Oryctolagus cuniculus: one gene and its partner. The protein of the gene in region 2 purifies or fractionates together with the protein of the main gene of each other region. This does not show direct contact. Links are inferred from orthologs where the notes say so. Each region holds a gene or a part of one and is shown on either strand. Other genes may lie near its edges. The genes, in order: GDI1 and RAB24.

What was found.
Region 1: the proteins of RAB24 (region 2) and GDI1 purify together in Homo sapiens (affinity purification with mass spectrometry; 3 studies listed by BioGRID and IntAct, counting the BioPlex papers as one, with this or other methods). This does not show direct contact. The link is inferred for Oryctolagus cuniculus from reciprocal best matches to the Homo sapiens genes RAB24 and GDI1.

The regions. Positions count from the first base shown.
Region 1 is NC_091453.1:132,667,246-132,677,879, reverse strand, and holds GDI1 (rab GDP dissociation inhibitor alpha), read right to left. Parts: upstream 9,739-10,634; coding exon 9,694-9,738; intron 8,483-9,693; coding exon 8,375-8,482; intron 8,241-8,374; coding exon 8,141-8,240; intron 7,995-8,140; coding exon 7,860-7,994; intron 7,387-7,859; coding exon 7,188-7,386; intron 6,952-7,187; coding exon 6,820-6,951; intron 6,027-6,819; coding exon 5,927-6,026; intron 5,187-5,926; coding exon 5,015-5,186; intron 4,697-5,014; coding exon 4,552-4,696; intron 4,470-4,551; coding exon 4,415-4,469; intron 4,326-4,414; coding exon 4,173-4,325; downstream 1-4,172. Other genes in the region: protein FAM50A, read right to left, coding at 858-1,003, 1,151-1,250, 1,347-1,431, 2,486-2,596. UniProt on the Homo sapiens protein: Regulates the GDP/GTP exchange reaction of most Rab proteins by inhibiting the dissociation of GDP from them, and the subsequent binding of GTP to them. Promotes the dissociation of GDP-bound Rab proteins from the membrane and inhibits their activation.
Region 2 is NC_091437.1:63,298,522-63,309,528, forward strand, and holds RAB24 (ras-related protein Rab-24), read right to left. Parts: upstream 6,112-11,007; 5' UTR 5,739-6,111; coding exon 5,622-5,738; intron 5,541-5,621; coding exon 5,472-5,540; intron 5,290-5,471; coding exon 5,211-5,289; intron 5,107-5,210; coding exon 5,039-5,106; intron 4,950-5,038; coding exon 4,850-4,949; coding exon of another isoform or gene 4,824-4,849; intron 4,667-4,823; coding exon 4,616-4,666; intron 4,512-4,615; coding exon 4,449-4,511; intron 4,342-4,448; coding exon 4,277-4,341; 3' UTR 3,987-4,276; downstream 1-3,986. Other genes in the region: PRELID1 (PRELI domain-containing protein 1, mitochondrial), read left to right, coding at 6,384-6,475, 7,028-7,253, 8,491-8,604, 8,665-8,767, 8,865-9,013; MXD3 (max dimerization protein 3), read right to left, coding at 9,847-9,968, 10,048-10,231.

The DNA of each region.
Region 1 (10,634 bases), on a different chromosome or scaffold from region 2:
CTGTGACTGCCACTAAGACAGGGACAGGGCCTGCAGGGCCCTTGGCCAGGCACCGAGCAGGTGTACAGTACACAGGGCTGCCTCCCTCCCCAGCCTTCCCAATTTGTACCTGATGGCCCCTAATTCTGGGGCCAAACCAGTAGCCACTGAATTTCAGCAGATATGTAAGATCAGGTGGAAACTATTCAACACTGAATTAACTACTAGGGGCCTCAGTCACATGGCAAGCGCTTGGGCCACCCGTGCCAAGCGGCTACCATCTCGGGCCATGCGAACACTTCCAACGTTGCAAGGTTGGACCAGCCAGCCTGGGCTTGAGACCATCCTGCGCAGCACTAGTGAAGAGCAGCTTCTGGAACATTCGGACTGGGTACCAGTCTGCTTCTGACACTGAGCCCACACTGAGCTGTAACAAAAGGTGCGGGGGGGCCAGCATGGTAGAGTAGCAGGTCAAGCCACTGGCCTGAAGTGCCGGCATCCCATATAGGTGCCAGTTCTAGTCCCAGCTGCTCCACTTCCGATCCAGCTCTCTGCTGTGGCCTGGGAAAGCAGTGGAAGATGGCCCAAGGCCTTGGGCCCCTGCAGCGACGTGGGAGACCCGGAAGACGCTCCTGGCTTCCACCTAGCCCAGCCCTGATCATTGAGGCCATCTGGGGAGTGAACTAGCAGATGGGAGACCTCTGTCCTTCCCTCTTTCAACATATATAAATGAATAAAATCTTCTACAAAAATTTTTAAAAATTAAAACCCAGTGCAGCCTGGGACCCGTGCGTTCCTCTCCTATGCCAAGAAGCCAGGAACCCAAGCCACCACTGTGGAAGGACGAGCCCACCCGCCTGCCCCGAGCCCACGCTCACCTTCCCTTTCCAGCTCCTCCTCGTACATGGCTGCCTCCTCTTCCTCCTCAGCCCCCTCCTCCTCTTCTTCCAGGGTGAAAGACAGGCTAGAGATCTTCCGCTTGGCCTCCTTCTTGCGCTCCTTCTCTCGCAGTTTCTCCAGCTTCCTATCAAGGGCACGCAGGCGTCACGTCCCATGTCCTCCCTTCCCTGACCCAGAGCCCCCTGTGCGAGACTGCGAGACGGGACCTCCCCAGCAGCCCAGGGGCCCACGGGCACGAGCTCCATAGCCAGGAGGTGCCGCGAGCACCCACAGCTGCAGCTCCTTCGACTGCTCCTTCTTGGCCAGCTGCTTCTCCCGCTCCTTCACCAGGGCCTCCTGCTTGGCCTTCATGTCATTCAGGGTCACCAGACCTGTGAGGCAAGGGGACATGGGGCGGGTCAGCCACTCGGGCCAGCAAACCAGTGGCCCCTGGGCTCCGGCGACGACGGCACATGCGCCCTGCTCACCCACGGTGCTGGACTTGAGCTCAGCCTCCACCGCATCATAGTGCGCAGAGAACTTCTTGTCGATATTGGATTTCATTATGTTCTCCTGTCCGGGAGTGAGAGTGGCGATGAGCACCCGCGCCCGCGCCCCTGCCCCCGCCCCCCGCCGGCTACTCCAGCTGGAAACAGCACGCTTTCAGGAACTGGGTGCTGGTCCTAGATCTGCCCCTCGAGTCACTACAATGTGACCCTGGAAAAGACATGTCCCCTTTCCTTTGTTGATGGAAGGGTCCATGAGGCTGGGGGTAATGTTCCCTGGGTAGCCTGGGACCACCTCACCTTTGGCTGTTTCTGTCTGTAGCCTTTAAGCTAAAGCTCCTGCAGCCCAGAAGAATGGTCAAGGAAGCCAGCCCCTTTGGGAGCGAGTTTTCTCCCTCCAGATTCCCGATGTTGCCAACAGCTTTACCACAAGGCCTCTTCCGTGCAGCCTCAGCCACTTGGTGCCACTGAGCCACCTCTGGGGTCTCCAAAAGATGTGGCCAGCAGAGAAATCTACTTTTAGCTTGCCAGACTGTCCCTGGGCACGCAGGCCTCTGCGACACTGGTTCCCCTGCTGACAGCCCACTCTCACTGGACACTTGCTGAAGTGTTGCTTGGACCACTAGCACCCGAAGGTTCGCCTTTGGTGAGCGAACAGGGCGCACAGAGGATCTGCAATGTGCCTCAATGGCCGGCGGAGAAGCCAAGCTTTGCGGGGCGCCCCCTGCAGCTCTACTGGGGAGAGGGTCTGCCCTTCCCAGTACCCATTGGGTCAGGGCAGGAACCTCGCCCCGAGAGCGGAGGGAATCGAGCCACAATGCGCTGTGCTTGGGAAGGGCCGTGGAGGCGCCCATCAACACAAACACAGAGGGTGACATCTCTCTGCTAGACTCTAGCTACAATCCAGCTAGCTCAAATCCTGGGCCCATTTTACAGATGAGACCCGCTGGCTCGCTTCCGGCTCCTGCTGGAGGTCGACAAGCAAGGGCCCCGCCCCGGCGCAGGGCCAGCCCTCCAAGAACTCGCAGCACGCCGCCCGGGGTTTCCCAGGGCCCCAGCGTCGCACGCGGCCGCCAGGGGGCCCCGGCGGCGCGCATGCTCCGAGGCGCCCCGGCCCGCACCTCTGCAATCCGCTGCTTCATCTGCTCCATCTGCTCGCGCTGCTTTTCTCGTTTCTTCATAAGGTGCATGGCGCGGCCCGCCTCGCTTGCGGCGCCCTTGTATTGAGCCATGGCGATGGCGGCGGCGACACTGACAACGGCCCGGCTGAGTCTCGGCGGTGGCAGTGGCGGTGGCGGTGGCGGTGGCGGTGGCGGTGGCGGCGGCGGCGGCGGAGGCGGAGGCAGAGGCAGCGGCGGCGCAGTCAGCTGACGCGTGACGTCAGTCACCAGGGACTGCGCGGGCGCCCTGCCCTGCCCCGCCCCGCGCCGCGCCGGCCCTCCAGGCACGTGACCGCCGCCCGCCCCGCCCCGCCCCGCCCCGCCCCGCCCGCTTTCCGGGGCTAGGCCGGTTCCCAGCCTTGACTCCCATGCCTCATTGGCCTGGAGGTTGGGGGCCCCGGCTTCCTGCGCTTGCTTATTAACCCTGACTCCACGTTGGAACCCCCTGGTCACCCTATTTCCTCCACCTGCTTGCTGTGGACCTCTACCCAAGGACATAACCCCTAGTCCTCCTGCCTCCTCCCTGCCTGACGTCAGGCCTTGGTTGTCCACGCTCCCCCTCACCTAATTGGCCATTGATCTGGAGACTGGCATCCCTGCTACCCTACCTGGGACTTTTGATTCCCATCCAAAGCGGGGCCCGAGTTCTCTCCCTCACCAGGCCTGAAGGTGGCAGTCCTGGTGCCAGCACTAACTCCCTGGAGGGCCCTGGGCAGATCAGTTGCATGTCAGCCTCCTCTGAAACGCCCTGATGAAGAATGTCAGCTTCCAGAGTCAGACCCCAACGCAGGGAGCCAAGGCCCTGCCAAGAACTACAGACGCAGGCACAGGTTTCAACACGGTTTTATTGGGAGGCTTTGTTTTCCGTGAAATACACTAGAGGTTGGGGAAGGGGACACATTCACTTCGCAAGGTAAGTAAGGGTTTCCCACCACTAAAGGAAAGGGGTGGGGCAGGGCACATGGGGTCGGGATCCATTTTCCCACCTCCTTCTGCTTTGCTCTCATTTCTTCTCTCTCTCAAGTACCAGAGAATGCAAACACAGACAAGAAACCAAAACAGAAGATCAAACTCCACCAGGGCCACACCTAAGCCTTCCCGGCTGCCCAGGCTAGGCCAGGACTGGGAGGGGCTGGGAGAGTTCACTGGACAGCCCCCAGGTTGCTCTAGGAGGATGCAGGCTCAGGTGGGGTGGGCTGCAGTTAATAAATTAGAATAAATTACGGGGAAAAGGAATGCAATTTTGTGCTGGGAGGGCCCCTTCTTTCCAACACACGAGAGTTGGTGGGGGGAGGCAGGGGGCATCTCCAAAGGCCACTACAGTAGGAGTAAGAGCGGTGGGGGCAGAAGCCAGCTTTTCCTCCATGTTCTTCCCAGACAGAGCAGAAGAATTAGGGGCGAGGGGAAGAGACACGCACGAAGAAAGGAACCGTCTTTTCCTAGGATAAGGAAGGGCCAAGGAAGAGATGCTATCCAACCCCCCATCTCCCAAACCATCGCTAAGGTTAAGGATTTGGTCAGTGAATCAATGAGGTGGGTAGTAGGAATGTGGTGGGGGAAGCAGAGATGCTGGAAACAGGGGTGCTGCCGCACATCTCCCTGGCCCTGCAGGACGCAGGAGGGGCGGCGGGGGCAGCAGGGGCAGCAGTCACTGGTCAGCTTCTCCAAAGACGTCGTTCTGTTTGCGCTTCATGTTCTCAAAGTCAAAGGCTGAGCCAGCCATGCGCTTGTAGATGTCCTTGATGTCATTGCAGGTTGTCTCAAAGTGTGTGGTGGCATCGTAGGAGCAGGAACAGAAAACCTGGCAACAGCCAGAGCCCAGGGCCTCAGGTGAGTTGGGCAGGGCGGCCGGGTGGGCGGCCGGGACTTGGGGCTGGGACAGGCACTTACCTGGCTCTCAGAACCATCATCAATGGGCTCGTACAAGTCACTGATAGCCACAAACCTGAGAGGCAGAGACAAGCCTCGCAACAGGCCCCGCCCTTCCTGGTCCTCCCCACCCCCTCGGGCTCCGTGCAACCCCTTACTTCTGGTCAATAGGCTCCAGCAGCTCCAGAGCTGGCTCAACCTCCTTTTCCGGCTCCGCAGTCTCCACTGTGGTGCTGGCAATGGCGATGTACTTGCCCTGCGCAGCCACGTTGTGTGCATAGGAGATCATGCACACGTAGATGTCTGGCCACGGGAAGTGCTCAGTTAGCACGGGCCAGAGTGAACACCATGCAAAGAGAAGGCGCCTAGGGGCTGCATGGGATCCTGGCCCACCTGATCCAATCACCCCGCCCCACACAATGGGCAGCATCCTGGCTGTCACCCTCCCAAGGAGAAAGAGTCCAAGCCACCCAATCCCTGGGGCCCCAAGTCGTGGGGACTGTCACGCGGCTCTCATTTCTGCTGTGGAGGGATCAGGTGGGGAGCCCCAAGGCTGACAGGGAGAGACGGAGCAAGCCCACAGAGAACACCCAGGAGGACGTCACGTGTGCCCCGGCCTACCTGACTTCCTGTTGACCTGGTTCTGGGGGATGATGATTTGGCAGGAATTGGCATCGTTGGTGTTCTTGATGGGGTGGCTGAGGATACAGATGATGCGGATAACCTGGCCAGCCTTCCGGACGCGGTCTGGGATGTAGCTGGGATCACAGATCAGCTGCTTGCAGCGGGCCACCTGTGAAGGCATCGGAGGGCTTTACCTCTGTCCGATCCCTGCCCTAAAACCTCGTGGGGCTGAGCCCACGCACGAGGCCAGGCAGCAGGCAGAGGCTCCACTCTCCTGGAACGCACAGCCACAGCCGGCAGGGCAGGCAGGTGAGTCCAGAAATGGGGTGAGCCCCGGCTGCAGGCACACTGTGATCAACAGTGCTTTCTGCACTACACACAGCTCGTGATCTTTGTGGCTTTTGTTTTTTTGGTTTTTCTTTTAAAGATTTGTTTATTTGAAAGACATAGTGACAGAAGGAAACACACACACACACACACACACACATCTTCCATCTCCTGGTTCCCTCCCCAAATGACAACAGCCAGGGCTGGGCCAGATCTAAACTAGGAGCCTGCAACTCCATGTAGCTCTCCCACGTGGGAGCAGGAGCCCAAGCACTTGGACCATCTTCCACTGCTTTCCCAAGCTATTAGTATGGAGGTGGCTCGGAAGTGGAGCAGCTGGGACTGGAACCAGTGCTCATAGGGGATGCCGACGTTGCAGCCAGTGGTTTAACCTGCTGCGCCACAGCACTGGCCCCAGTACACCACCTCTGAAGGGGACCTCCCGCCAACAGGAATGGCTTCTGGACCCCCAGTTCTCAGCTCTAAAGCCCTGGGGCTGAGGTGTGCAGCAGACCTGGCAGCAGAGGAGGTAGGCGAGCCCCGCCCTAACCACGATGGCCCCATGGCCTGGGGAAGGCTTACCTCTCCCTCAGACTTCACACCCACAACCTTGCCATTCTCCATGATGATGTCGTCCACAGGTTTGTTCAGCATGTATGTGCCCCCGTAGATGGCGCTCAATCTGTGGGAAGGGGAGAGAAGCTCAAGTGCCCCTCCCAGGAGAAATGGGGACCAAGTCTCCTGCACCGTGCCCTGCCACCACTGAGGTATAGAGGAGGCTTCCCCAGGCAGGCGGTGTCAGGACCCTCGGCAGTTTATCCCGGCCAGCACTGTGGGGTAGCGGGTAAAGCCACCACCTGTGACACCAGCACCCCATATGGGTGCCAGTTCAAGTCCTGGCTGCTCCACCTCTGATCCCTGCTAATGGCCTGAGAAAGCAGCAGGAGATGGCTCAAGTGCTTGGGCCCTTGAACCTTCATGGGAGACCTGGAACAAAGTCCTGGCTACTGGCTTTGGCCTGGCCCAGCCTTGGGCATGTGACCATCTGGGGAGTGAACCAGAGGATGGAAGATATCTATCTATCTCTCTCTCTCTCTCTCTCTCTCTCTATATATATATATATATATATATATATGCCTTTGGAATAAATAAATCTTTTAAAAACGTCACATCCCATCTTACTGTGGTCTTTGGAACTCCATGCCTAGAATATCCTGCAAAGGGCTAGTGTGAGGGTGGCCTGAAGGACCAGCGCCACACAGAAAGAGGAGCCTGAGGGACCAGAACAAAGTCCAGCTCCCCACTAAGCGCAGACTCAAGGTTCCTGAGTCTGCCTCCCAGGGCTTTGTGCTGGGGCTGTGTCCCCATCTCAGATGTCAGAGTAGGAAATGCTGTGGAAATCCCCAAGGGAGGCATTGCTATTGTTGCTCTCAGTCCCACTTAGTCATCCCAACTACACAAAGCCACGTTCTCACCTTGCAAAGCCCTGGGGCAGCTCGCCCAGGCCGTAGAGTGGGTATAAGTATGGGCTCTTGCCATACCGGGCCAGGGACTCACTGTACAACTTGATACGGTTAATGGTCTCCAGACAGGGCTGGTCCAGGTAGCTGGGGGGACAGAGGTCAGGGAAGATGCTCCAACAGGCTCCCTGGCTCACCCCACCACCCCGAATGGCCCAGGGGAGCCGGGGGGTCAAGTGCAGGGGAGGGGCGGACAGGCAACAGGGGAGCCTATGGCTGAGTACGAGAAATGTGCAGGGTAGGCAGAGGGAGCAGTGGGCAGGTGTTGGGGAGGCAGGGTAAAGGCCAGGCAAGGGGACCGCGCCACACCAGCTTCCCCTCACTCATCAGTGCGGTAGAGTGCCAGCGCGTGGCCAGTGAAATCAATGACATCCTGGCCCAGGTCAAACTTCCGGTATACGTCACGCATGCTGGTAGTCTGGGGATCGACGCCCTCAAAGGTCTTGGGGTCATTCTCATCAAAGTTTGCCACAAACACCAGGAACTTGCGGAAGCGCCGTTTCTCAAACATGCCCATCAGATCTGAAGAAGGCGGCAAGGGGGGACCCTTTGCACTAGAATACAAAATTCTCCTTCCCGCCCCCCCCCAACCCCACCCCCGTGGGCTGGCCGAGAAAGCTGGCATCCCGGCTCCCAGTGAGGTCTGTCACATGACCTTAGCGTAATCTACCTGTCTCGGCCTCGGTTTCCCCACCCATGTGAAGAGGGGGTTGGGCCGGGCACACTCTGAAGGCCCTCTTGGCTCCGACACTTAGAGATGTTCCAGGGCTCAAGCGGAGCCCCTGTCACAGGCTTCCGAAAAGGAGCACCCTCCACTCCTCTCTGCACGCGGATCGCCCTGCTAGCAAGCCGCTGTGAGGTGAGGCACATGGCAGCAGCAGGAACAGAGCAAGGGCCATCTGCTACCTCACAGGGGATGCAGCCTCGGGCGTACAGTGGCCGGCTCCCGGTGTCTACCTTGCCACCCGCCCTGAGGTCGGGAGACCCACACTCACTGGAAGCCAAGGCCTCGGTCTCAGTGGATGGCACTTTGTAGATCTTGCCGCCTTTGTAGACAAAGCTGCCCTCCACCACCTTGAAGTCCAGGTAGCGAGTCACCTCCGTATACAGGAGCATCTTTACCAGCTGCCCTGTGGTGGGGACAACATCAGCACAGCTCCCTGCAGGAGCTCTGGCCAGCCTGGCGGGCCCTTGTCTGGAGCCCAACCCCCTCCGGTCCTTCCCAGTCACCACCGCGCCCCTAGGAAAACCGCAGCAGCTCCTCCATCTCCCTCACCATTGGCCATGAGGAATTTGGGGATCAGGTCAACGTTCCAGTCTCGGCCCCGGCCCATCGACTCAGGGGGCCCCTCCAGCAGCTGAAAACGCTTATATAACTGTAAGCAGGAGGGGGAGAGAGAGAGACACCTCAAGGACTGGCCCTCCCTCTCCCTGCCACCCGCTGCTGCTACACTATGGCTCCAGTGAGAGGTTTCCAAGGGCCCGGCCTGGGCCAGGCTGGCAGCCTTACCTCTTCCAGGGGAGTGATGGAGGAGCTCTCGCCCCCATAGTAGGGGTTCCGGTCCATGTGCAGCACCTTCTTCCCGTTCACAGACATGATACCAGACAGGATGCACTCCTAGGGGTGTGAGGACAGCCGGTGCGCTCCCACCTGCCCACTTCGCACCAGCAGCCCTGATCTGTTCTCCTCCCCAAGCCTGCCACAATGGACAGCTCCTTCCACGCCCCCAGCCTCCGCCGCCGCCGCCTTGCCTAACACTGGTGGCGATGGCTACATCCGCCCGTCTCCTTTTTTACCCTGCTAAGCAGAGGTGAACCAGAGAGAAATAATGAAGGAGTCGGGGGAGACAGAGTGTCCAGCAGACACAAGGACAGTCTCATGGCACCGACTGCCAAGAAAGTCCTCTATCAGTGCAGAGCCGCACAATCCGGCAGATAAGACACAATGAGGCACACAGCGGACCTGGCCAGGCCGCAGAGGGCGCCCAAAAGGGAAGTGAAGAAAGGCACTTGGACTCTCAGGCCCCACCCTCGGCTGCTCCGTCGTCAAAGGCCAGGAGCCCCTGACCCTAAGCCTTCCCCACCTGGGCTCAGGAGGGGCATCTGGGCCTGGCCTGAGGGAAATGTGTCTCTCAGGGGAGCGGGTGAACACGCTGTGGGGGAAGGGGGACGATGAACATTCTCCCTAGTCACTGTCACCAGCCCAAGGACAAAGGCTGCAGATATTGCTCAGCCTCAGGTCTCCATGGGAAACCAGGGTGGGGGAGCGGGAATGTGGTCACTGCCCTCGCTGTTAGTTATTCTGGAACATTCCCTGGCTCTTCTGATCCCAGAAGCAGCCAGGAACACAGGACGAGGCCCCAACCTGGCAAGGCCCCCTAACCCCAGGTCCTCGTACTTCACCCCTACTAAGATTAGTATAAGTTGGGGGGGCACAATACTAGGAAGGTGATGGGTGGGGGCGATGGGTGGGGACTGGATGGGAGGGACTGGGGGGCATCAGGCCGAGTGGGGGATACGTTTTCCGGCCCAGCAGGGCAGGGTAGGGAAGATGGGAGAGGCCGGGAGTCGGCACCAGGGAGTCAAGGGAGCAGCCAGGAGACCCCGCTTCGAGGTCATGGCAGCGAGCAGAGAAGACGTCGCGAGGCCAAGGGGGCTGGGGAGTGGGGAAAGAGAAGGCAGTGGGGTGGGTACGGGGCTGGCGTTTCGGGGACCCAAGGGCAGAGGATAGGAATGATGGGAGGATGGGTTTGGCGGCCAGCGGCTGCATCATCGCAGGGATTCGGGAAGGCACGAAGCGGAGGCGCAGGCGCCCGAGGCCACACTTACGGTGAGGCCGGTCCCCAGCACGATCACATCGTATTCCTCGTCCATGGTCAGGCCTTGGTACCAGCGCCCGCTCGGCTCCTCCTCCCGTTTCACCACAGCAGCAGCCGCCGCCGCCGCCGCCGCCGCACTGGACCAAAGATGGCGGCACTTCGAACGCCGCCTGACCCCTCCGCCGCGTCAAAAAGTCCCAACACTTCCCCAGGCCCCACCACGCCTAGCAGTGATCACCGCTTCCCTGGCTTGCCTCCTAAGAGGGTTGCCGGTACTCGGGCCCTAGCACCAGTGCGGCTCTGCCGGCGTCGCCGTTTGCCAAGGACCCAGAGGAAGCTAGGCGGGGCGGTCCGATGACCGGTACTGCGGTCCGAGAGGGATCCGTGCGCGGGAGCCGCGCGCGCCCCGCCCCGCCCCGCCCCCCGGGAGGCTCCGCGCGGCCCCGCGGGCCGGGCACGCGCTGCTGCAGCAGCCGGGGGCGGCCCCCTCACGACGCTGAAGCTGCCATTGTCGCGGCGACCGCTGTCCCGACCACTCCTTCCCTACCTTAACCGGTTAGGGGCCCAGTTTGCTAAAAGAGTCCCTGGCGGGCCCTGGCTCCTGGATTTTGGCCTGGCTGGGATACATCTAGGGCCACCTCCCCCCCTCCCCGCACCCGCCCGCCCTCCTGCCCTCCTCCCATCCCTCAGTCCAACGCTTTCCTCATTTCTAGTCCAGAAACGAATGACAAGAGGCCCAACGTGTGGCGACCCATCTTTATTTTATTAGGAAGGAGACAATGGAGCATGCCAGGCTCCTGCCAGGCGCTCCTGAAACACAGTGGTCACGCCCAGCCCACCTGTCATGGAGGTTCCTTCCTCCTGAAGTCACAGAAATAAACCCCAGCACAGTGTTGATTGTTAACACAACATCACCAGGATACAACAACGACAGCCAAGCGGGACACAGAA
Region 2 (11,007 bases):
GAGAAAACATAAAGCATCTTATTTTCTTTTAAAAGAATTTTAAACCATGAAAAAGATATTTTTAAAGAAAATTCATCCAGAACATGAAAGTTGACTATATTAAGTATTTATCATGTGTGAGAATACGTATATAACTGCAGCTAGTAGGTCCCTTTCCCTGATCTCTTAGGTTGTATGAGTAGGGTTTGCTTGGTGCCAGTCCTGTGCCCTTTTCTCTCCTGTCATCTGTAGTTGTGATCAGAAGATGCCCACACTGCACTGTCGGCATCTTTTCACTGTGTTGTGTGCTAAATTACCGTAGCTCTTTGTTCCATGAAATAAACTGTGAATCGGGGGGGTGGGGCGTGCAGGCTATGTAAAAATGTAAGTGGAGAAGTTTCATCCTGAACTAGCTTCACTGAAGTAGGCTTTGGTAGGTAATTGGCTAGACGGCCATCTAGACAGTGTCTCACAAGACAGGAAGGACTGAGGGAAAGGGGGCCGTGATTAGCCACTCTCCATTCTCCACCATTCACTAGAGGCTGCTTTCCAGACCTGCCTCGGAAAACAGCTTGTGAGCCGTACCTGGTTCTGGGGGTCAGTTCTTCACCTGAATGGATGGACATCAGGCTTCCATCAGGGCCACTGAAAGACTCTCAGGTTGTGGATTGGAAGCTGGACATTGGAGCTTTTAGGTCCACTGACAGCGGCATCTGATTTTAGATTGTTAAAATCATGAAAGCAGTCACTATCCAACTATAGAAGTAGAATCAGAACTATTGGAAATGAGACTCTTAAGTGAAGGTGGGGAGGGAGTGACTTCGCCAGCCCTTTTAGACTTCCTCAAGCCTATAAGGAGACCCTTTTCCCTAAGAGGGTGCAACTAGGCAGCTAAAGGAAACCTTTTATCATTGTGCAGGATTGGTACTGTGGTATTTGGATCTCAAGATAGCCTGCTTTCGACCCGGCTCCCTTGGAGGGCTTTTTGAGGGGCAAGCTTGTAAAGTCAGAAGAAATTATGGAAACGTTTGAAGTTTGCATTCAAAGCCTTATTTGTTTCTCCTGGTGGAGCCAACCCATTCTAATAGCAAAACAGCTATCACCGCTCCAAAGTGTCCACGTTTTTAAAAAAACGTCTGCTTTCTCCTGAAGTCCCTGAGTTTGATGATGTAAATCACTGTGCTGATCCACACCTTTAGCATTGATTTAAAAAAAAAAAAAAAAAATACAACTTCTATTCTTTGAATCCCCCACGCACTACAGTCAGGACATGAACTCACAGTCCTGTCCCGGGCTCAGCACCACCTGCTCGCTGGAGCTGCCCCCCCCAGGCTGCCTCATGAGAGCAGAACGGCAGGAAGGAGGTCCAGTCCTGGCACTGTCCCCGTGGAGAGGGATCAGGAAAGCACTGAACTTGCTCCTATAAAGTGGGTTTTCTCCTAAGGCTTTGTTTTGGAATAGTGTCACCCTCTTGGGGCTTATCGGCCAGGTCTGAGGGGCCCAGTGTCCTGTGCTCTGTGGATCATGGCAAGAAAGGAATTGCCTCAAGCCCCCTTCCCCTGCTGAGTAACCTCCGAGCTGTTCCATGTTAGACATTCCAGATCATTTAAAGCTAGGTGGCTGCAAGAGGCTTTGATTGGCTGTGGCCAGTTAGCTCTCAGCTGAGCTTCCTAGGGCCAGGGCAGCAGGGCCAGAGGTTGCTGTAGCTAAATTGAAATAAGAGTAGATAATTGCTTTGTATACAAAAAAAAAAAAAGTAATGATGGTGCTAATTTCATGGTATAAATAAGCACTGCCATGGATTGAGGGACTGGTGACTTGAGAAACCCAGGTTCCTACTTGGGAGATTTATGTAGAAAGGTTTTTTTTCAGGCTCTGTTAGAGGTGAGGACCCAGCAGAGCCTCAGCAAAGCCTGCACCCAACCCTGGAGTTAGTCCAGCATTCTCCAGAGGTGGAAGAGATCCCGTGTCCAGATGAAGGTGGCCATTGAGTTTCTCAGGGCTGGGGTCACCTTGTCCATAAGCCTCCGTCCACACTGCCTGGAACAGGTTGGTAGAGCTCTGGGTGTGGGGTCTCCCTGGGTTACCTCCTGCCCCTCTCTACCTCTTCCAGTCTCATGGGAGCACCTCTATAGCTCATGAATATGAAGAGTAATATTTCTTAAGGACGTGGAAAGAGTTTATTTTAATTAGAAATCCACAGCCTTGGAAGAAATGTGTCTTACAAGTGTAAGCAAAAACAGCCTGTTCAACTCTTGTGTAGCCCTCCTTTAGAGCTGCTTTCCCATGGCTTTGAAAACATCAGGCTGTTAGAGGGCTTCAGGTTTAACACCCTGGAAGTTGAGCCGAGCTTTGTGGACAAGAGGCAAGCACAGGAAGCAGAAGCAGAAATGGTTCTGGGTGCTTTAAACCTCTAGGGTCGGGCAGAGCCAGCAGTGTCCAGGTGTACGGTGGGTGCTGCCTGCATGCGTGCAGGTGATGAGGTGTGTTGGATGGGCAGTGCAGCACACAGGAGCTCCTGGAAGAGCAGCTGTTTAGGTCTTGGCAAAGCAACAAGCTGATGACAGAGATCTGTCTTTATATTTTTAAGAAAGGGGGACGGGGGGTCGGGGGTCAGCCAAGGTCCGTCACGGTTTTCTCTGCCCTCCCCCCTCCCCGGCCCCACAGATTGTCAGCTGTTAAGTGAAACTCCTAGTGAAAAAGAGGGAGCCCTGTGCTAGGAGTCTCCATAAACATGTACTGTAATTCTTTGTATATAGAAAAAAATTACTGTAAAGTAAAGTTTAACTTTACTCTTATGGCCCTTGCCCTGTGTTTTGTTTTATTGTTTCTGGGGAGGTGTAGCCTAATAGGACAGAGGACTGGTCTGGGGTGAGAACAAAAGCCACCCCAGAGAGTTCCCCAGTGGGCAACACAACAGAGCTGAGCCTCCCTCCAGGCCCTTGATGGGGGAGTAGTGTGGGTTTCCTCCCCGTGGCTATGGGCTACATGTCTGTCTTGTTGGGAGTGGTTGGTATCAGTTTCAGTCCCCTTCCACAGGAAATCTCCATCACTCGTGAAGGAAGTGTATTTTGAGGAATTGGTTTTTTAAAAAGGAAGTAGAACCAAAGCACTTTTCAAATGAGTCAGAGCTTGTTGGTCAAGTTTTACATTCTTAAGAGGCAGGTGTTGAGTACTGTACAAGGCTCAGTCTGAGCATAAAGGCAGCAAAGCAGTGAGTTGGAAAGTGAGGCTCCTGGTGCAGGGCAACACCTCCCATACCCGAAAAGGCTTCTTGTTGAACAGGGAGCGTTGGCCCTGGGTACCCTAACCCATGAGCCTTCAGAGACACTTGGACCTTTAAGGCCTGATACCTTTGGGAGAACCTCGGGAGTCTGCTTCCTGCCTTTCCAGCAAGAAGCTGTCAGAGGAGGAGTATGGGAAGAGCATTTGGTACCAGAGTTCATTTTCCCCTAGGATGCTCACGGTCCTGAGCTGGGGAGCAGCCCCCTCATCTTACAGAGGAGTAACTCAGGCTGAGTGTGTGGCTGCCTTTCTAAGTAGCTAGCTGGGATCCAAATCTGGATCCATGAGACCTTTCTGTCTTGCAGAACTGAATGACTTTCCTTCCATTAAGCCACACTGTGGAATGTCTGGGAAGCTCAGGATCTGAACAACAGGCCTGACTCACAGGCCCAGGCACGACAGACGCGGTCAGGCCTACCAGGCCCCCTTATTATCTAAGCAGGGCTTGCCCCTGCTGCACAGGCTGAGTGCTCTCCTTGCCTTCCTCTGCACCTAGTAGGAATGGTGAGCTTTGTAGTGCCCCGACCCCAGCCTCTCACTGAAGAACAGCAAAGAACCTCTTGTTTCTCCAAGGGCTCCTCTGCAACCCGGGGCTGAGGTTCCTTGGTTTCCAAAGGAAAGTAAGAGATAGGAGGAGCCTTAGTATAGAAGTGAGGCCAGGCCGGTGCTCTCAGAGCTAGGTGTCTTGACACCGGGTCCACACAGCAGGGAAAGGGGCTGAGTGTGAGTCACAGTGCACTGACTTTATTTACAGATCAGAAGCCACTTAAGTAATCTGCAGATACAAGTGTTGTCCAGGGCAGAAGCCTGGGGTCCAGATCGGTCCTTAGCCCTCCTCATGCCCACAGCCAGCCCACACTGCCTCCGTTCCATGGGCCAGCACAGGCCGGTGCCACCTCTGCTGCCATGGGGACCTGGGGTAGCTCAGACGTTGGACCACCTGAGCCCAGACAAAAGCTGGGTCCAGCCCCCTGGGGAATTCCACTATTCCCCAGGCCAGGTGAGTGGCGAGTCAGTGATGACAACAGCTGTAGAAGTAGGGGTTTGCCTTCTGGCCCAGATCCACGCCCTTGTCCTCTGTGAAAGAGAGGTGGCAGCTTAGCACCTAGCTCCGTGGACGGGGTCAGGCGGGGCTCGGCGGGGCTCGACGCCCCGGCTGAGAGGCGGTCCGGGGGAGCACACACCTGTCATCACTTGGAAGGCAGCCACGCTGACGTAATCCTCGGCCACTTTCTGGAAGAGCTCGTCTGACAGGAAGAGAGGGCCGGTGAGGGCCCAGAGGGCTCGTCTACTCTACTGCCTGGGGTGCCCCTGCCCGTTCCTGCTGCGAGGCCCCAGGACCAGCACTCACCCACACTCTGGCCTGTCTTGCTAGACGTTTCAAAGAGCTGAGCTTTGATATCTGTAAAGAGAAGTGACGAAGCCTCACACCTGAGAATCCAGTAGACAAAGAGGGAGCCTAGCAGTTCAGAGTCTCCCAGACCCCAAAGATGCAAGGAAGCCAAGCAGGTACCTTGCCTGTAGCCCACCCAAGCAGCCACTCCCCGCCCGCATCCCACCCCCTCAGGGGCTGAGCAGCAGCTACTGTCTGCATAGTCCTGGACATCGTGGAAGTCCACACGCCGCCGCCGCCGGTCCTCCTCCAGCAGGTCGCTCTTGGTGCCACACAGGTAGATCTGACAGCCCTGGAGCAGAAGCCAAGGTCAGGGTGGGCTCCACGGACCCACTGAGCTCCCACCCCCAGGCCCCCATCCAGCCAGGTGTGGCCACCCACCTCCTCCAGGCTACGCAGCTCCTTCACCCAGAACTTGGCTCGCTCAAAGCTGTTGCTGTCCGTAAGGTCTTGGCGTGGGGCATGCAGGAAAGGCGAGCGAGGGTCAGGGGTTGTTCTGAGGCCCGCCAGGCACCCACACCTTGCTTGAGGAATAGGCCAGAACCCCTCTTACCATAGCAGACGATGGCAGCCTTGGCGCCCCGATAGTAGATCCTGCTCATGGCCTCATAGCGTTCAGAGCCTGCTGTGTCCTGAAAATCAGGGGAGGACTGAGCCCCGGCCTGGGTTACCAGGCTAGAATCCCCCATGACTGCAAAGCAAGCCCCAGCCTCCAGAAGGGGAAACCAGGGCCTGGGGCTGGGCAGTGGCCTCGGGGGCCCAGGTCAGAGCCCCCCTCTGCAGACCTCGCGAACGGGGTGCCCAGGAAACTTACCCAAATCCCTAGAGTCACCGTCCGATCTCCTACAGACATCACCTTGGCCACGAAGGCAGCCCCGATGGTCTGCAACGAGGGGCAGGCGGTCAGGTCGGCGGGAGCGTGCCGGCCCCTCCCCGCGCGGCCGCCCCGAGCTGGCGCACTCACGTTCTGATAGGGCCCCACCAAGAAGCGGTCGTGCACGTAGCGCTCCACCAGGCTCGTCTTGCCCACGTACTCCTTGCCCAGCATCACCACCTTGAGGTCCACGCGGGGCCCGCTCATGCTCCTGGGGCCGCCTCACCCACGGCGGGGTCCTGAGGCACACCCGACCTCCGCTCGGCCCCTAACCCCACGCGCTAGCCCGGCGCTCGAGGCCCCGCGTCAGGCCAGAGCTCGGCCCCCGTCCTCCCCGTCTGCCTCCGCTCTTCTGCCTGCCCCGAGCGCCGGGTATCTTCGGAGAGCCCAAGACCCCGGCCGGCCTGCGAGCGCGCGGGCCAGCGAACCTTGGCCGCGCCGCACGCCGCCGTCCCGCGCTCGCCCTCCGGGTCGCCCGCCCGCCGGCCCGGCTGGGACTCCCGCTCGGGGTAGGCTTCCCAACTGAACCCGGAGTCCCCCCTGAACCCTGCTCTGACCCGCAGCGAGCGCCGCGACTCCGGAGGGAGGGGCGCTAGGCCGAGGGGGCGGAGCCGAGAGGTCACGTGGACGGCGCCGGAAGTGGTGGACTGTGCCGCCGCGCCGGAAGTGGCGCGCGGCTGGCCAGCTCCTCATGGCGGCGGCGGGCAGCGGCTTGGGCGCGGCGCGGAGGTGACTGACCTGAGCTGCGAGCCTGGCGGGCGTGCGCCGAGCCCCGGCCCGGCCTCCGCGTGCCCCCGGGCTCCGCACGCCTGATGCTGTGCGGACGCTGAGTCCGCCCCGGCCGGACTAACGATGGTGAAGTATTTCCTGGGCCAGAGCGTGCTCCGAAGTTCCTGGGACCAAGTATTCGCTGCCTTTTGGCAGCGATACCCGAATCCCTATAGGTACGTGACTCTGGGAAGAGCAACCCCCGGCACCATCTCCGCCCTGTCGAGATCGAAGTGCGGGCGATCCCCCCAAGTAATGGGGCTAAGGGGAACCGCGGATCGAGGCCGACATAGGGCTTTCCGGAATCGTGACCGCCTTAAGGGCAGCAGGCCTTATCTAGGAAGTGGCCGGGCCGGACTCGGAAGGCCCTGGGAGGTGGCTGGGCCTGGGCACTGGTTTGCCAAGGCCCTCTCTGTGGACGTTGGGACGGGAAGAGACGGCCGCACGGGCCCTGGGAGGGATCTTGGGGCTGCAAGTCAGGCACTTGCCCATGGGTCTGCCCGTGCAGGAAGTCACGAGGCCCCGCCCTGCCGGGAAGCCAGGAATCCAGGTCAGTGAGGTAGGGCAGCAGTTGGAATTTGCCCTGGGATAGTCTGAGCCACAGCCCAGATCACTGGGCGAGATTGCAGGGGTGGCGCGCTGGGCAGGGCTGCCCCAAGTGGGAACCCCAACGGGGAGCTTCCCTGGGGGCAGGTTCCCGATGGTCACCTGCACTCTGACACCTGCAGCAAACATGTCTTGACTGAAGACATAGTCCACCGGGAGGTGACCCCTGACCGGAAGCTCCTGTCCCGTCGACTCCTGACCAAGACTAACAGGATGCCCCGCTGGGCAGAGCGACTATTTCCTGCCAATGTTGCTCACTCGGTGTACATCCTGGAGGACTCTATAGTGGACCCACAGAATAAGACCATGACCACCTTCACCTGGAACATCAACCACGCCCGGCTGATGGTGAGACCTCCCCGGGGCCCCTACCCCCACCCCCCGAAGCACACTGCTCAGGAGCAGGTGGCTAGGGAACCGAGGCAGATTCCTGAGGACCGGGTGGCCCGGAGCCTGCCCTGCCCCTGCCCTGACTCAGCCGTGCCCTGGGGGAGAGGCACCTGTTTCAGGAAACTGCGTGACGCGCCTTTGGGTGGGGCCTGCAGGAGTGATGCTGAGGGTGGGCGTCCATCAGATGGCGGCCTTGCGTGCACCTCGGGGAGCGGCTATGGCCCCTTGCTCCACTTTCTTTTTTTTTTTTTTTCTTTCAAGATTCATTTTTTTTTATCTGAAAGGCAGAGTTCCATCTGCTAGTTCAGTCCCTAACTGGCCGCGATGGCTGGGGCTGGGCCAGTCTGAAGTCAGGAGCCCAGAGTTGCTTCCAGGTCTCCCCTCCCAAGTGCAGGGGCCCAAACGCTTGGGCCATCTTCTGCTGCTTTCCCAGGCGCATTAGCAGGGAGCTGGATCAGAAGTGGAGCAGCCGGACTCGAACTGGTGCTCCGATATGAAATGCAAGTGTCACAGGTGACTTAACCCACTGCGCCACAACGTCCCCACCCCCTGCCCCACACCACTCCCACTCACTCCAGAAGTGTCTTCCTCATCTGATGGGAGTGCTCCAGAGATTGTGGGAAACATCACCTGTGCTCTCTTGCCCGTGGCTTGAGAATCATTCTACAGCGTCTCCGCTGGCCAGTGCATGCCGGGAGGGCTCCTGCAGAGCTATTGCGGGCACCAAGCAAAGCCCCTGTGTACGGCACCCAGCACTGGTGCCCACGTGCAGCGTGTGAACACCCTGAAAGCTTCAGAGAATCCCCCTCCCCAGCTTGTTTTCTCAGCTCACTTACCCAGTCTGCAAAGAGGGAAGTGAGGGCCAGAGAGGGGAAGTGTCCTGCCGGGCTGCGGTGAGCGCGGCCGCACTGTATCCCGCTTTCTGGGCTCCTGCCCGGTGACCGCGGGGGCCCATCTGGCAGGGGGGTGCTCTTTCCGAGGAGGCCGCAGTCGGCGGGAGCCAGGCTGCACACCCCGTACGCGTCGAGGCATAAAGGCTCCCGACACCCAGGGGTGTGGCCGCCTGGTCCCCCGACCCTGGCTGGGGATGCGCCATGGGGAGGAACCTATTTTCACACCGGTACTTCTCAGACTGATGCTGGCGTTGGTAAAGTGAGAGACTCCGTGGTTGTGGTTGGTCTGACTCCCCACACAGATGGTGGAGGAGCGATGTGTTTACTGTGTGAACTCAGACAACAGCGGCTGGACTGAAATCCGCCGGGAAGCCTGGGTCTCCTCCAGCTTGTTTGGCGTCTCCAGAGCGGTTCAGGTGAGTAGTTGTCAGCGGGGCTGTGGGGCCCGGGCCTCTGCCGTCCGAGCCGGCTTCTAGGATCCTCCCCTTGTCTCTTGCCAGGAATTTGGTCTTGCCCGCTTCAAAAGCAATGTGACCAAGACTATGAAGGGCTTTGAGTACATCTTGGCCAAGCTGCAAGGTGAGAGCTCGGGGCAGCCCCTTGGGAGCCTGGGCCGGAGGCGGGGGGGGGGGTGTCCACCCTCTGTACCTAAAGCCGGCCCTGGCCTTCGCTGCAGGTGAGGCCCCTTCCAAGACGCTTGTTGAGACAGCCAAGGAAGCCACGGAGAAGGCCAAGGAGACGGCGCTGGCAGCTACGGAAAAGGCCAAGGACCTGGCCAACAAGGCCGCCACCAAGAAGCAGCAGCAACAGCAGCAGTTCGTGTAGCCAGTCTGGCCCTGCTGGGACCCAGGCCCTCCCCAGCGCTGCCACTGCACCCCACACAGTGCGCTCAGCCCCCCACCCGCCCCCTCCTGTGTACTTTATTATTAAAAATCCACTTCCAGCCCTCTCTGCTGTTTGGGGGTGGGTGTCAGCCGCGTCCGAGCCCGGGCGGCTGCTGGCAGAGGTGCAGGGATCAGTGGCGGGGAAACATGACAGACTGTAAGCTCCATGAGGGCAGGGCTCGGTTCTGTCCTCCGATGTGTCCCAGCCGCCCGGAACCATATCTGTGCATAACAGGCACTCAATAAATATTTGTTGAATTCACTCCGCGCCAACTCTGGAGTCAGAAAGCGCTGGTTCGAACCTTGACTCCGCCGTGTGCTGCCGGCCCCAGGCAAAGTGGGTGCCACTGGTGGCTGGGGTTTTCCCCGTCCTCATCAGGCAAGACCAGGAGCAGAAGTTACAAAAGAGGCTTTTAATGCGAATACTGTGCAGGACACGAGGCACAGAGGCCAGGGTGCCATGTCCCGGGAGGAACGTGAGGGTTCAAGAGGCTTCCTGAGCCAAGTGCTACAAACAGGCCTGGAAGGGGGGCGGGCAAGCAGGCCCCTTTCCCTGGAGAGGCTTGGGGAGGTCCAGGCGCCTCCAACCCCCAGAGTCCGCCTGGCAGCCAGCAGCAGGGTAGGCCAAGCACCTGTTCCCATGTAAGGGTCCTTTTAGTCCGTGCCAACAGATGACTCCAGACAGCCCTTAAGGCTCGGAGGGGTTTCTGTCCAGGGGCTCAAACCAGCATGCGCAGAAGGTGAGGGTCGAGGCCACCAGGGCAGAGCCTGGCGTCAGAGCCAGGCGCCGGCGCTGTACGAATAGCTGTGCTCCCGGCCCGCGCCGAAACCCCGCAGCAGCTCCGCCTCGCCCCCAAACACCAGGCTCTCCACGTCCACGTCCACGTCCAGCTCCTCTGCACAGGGAGGAGCCGGTCAGAAGGGCCCACGGCCACGCGCCAACGCGCCACGCGGCCCAGGGCCTCCGGCACTCACCTTGATCCGAGTCCGAGCGCTCCGAGGAGAGGCCCGACGAGTCCAGGCTGTGCGCGCGCAGCCGCTCCCGCTCTCCGGCGCCCGGCAGCCCGCGCAGCCGCTCCAGCTGCTGCCGCAGGCTCTGCTGCTGGCTGCGCAGCCGCTCCTTGAGCCGCCGGGCCCGCTGCTCCTGCTCCTCCAGCTTCTGTGGACCAGGAGGAGCAAGGGCGGGGTCAGCCGCCTGGGGCCTGCCCAACGCTGCCCGCCAGATCTCCCCGTGCAAGAGGAGCTGGGAAGTCAGATTTGGTTCAGCGAATGGCCTTGGGAGTGCTGCCAGCTAATTTAAATTGTTAGAAAGCTGCAGACCGAACAAAGCTGCCAGTGTCTAACTGCGGCGCAGCTTCCTCCCCTCCCAGGAACCCTGAGACTTTGGGCATCAGTCCCCAGGGGGTGGGGGGCACCCCTGCCAGCCGCGAAGCTCCAGTGGCTGGACAGCCAAGAGGTCTCCTGGGCAAAGCCCCAGGAGGGCAGCCATTCAACCAGAAGGGGAGAGTGGGCGCAGCAGCACCGGGACAGGGCAGAGTCTGTGCGGAGTGGCTAGAGGTGAGACAAAAACAGCAGCCAAGGGGCTTGTGTGGGGCCTGGCGTCTCACAGGAAGTAAAGCTCATTCTAGGGCAAAATGGCAGACTGCCTGGGAGAGGCCAAGAAGGAGGCCGGGATGAAGTAGGCCAAGGAGCAGATGATGGGGCTTCAAGGAGGGAGCAATTTCTAGGTCCTGCCCAGGGGCCAGGCAGCGTGTCATCGGCACACGGTGTCCACCTGACACCCAGACCCGGCCCATGGGCCGGCCAGACTTGTTCCGCCACTGGGCAGGGGGGGACAGCGTCAGGGGACAGGGTGAGTACATCCCATGACCGTGGTTTATCTGCCGGGCTGTGTCTCTGCCAAGGCCCCTGGTGCAGAGCAGGCACTCAGTAATT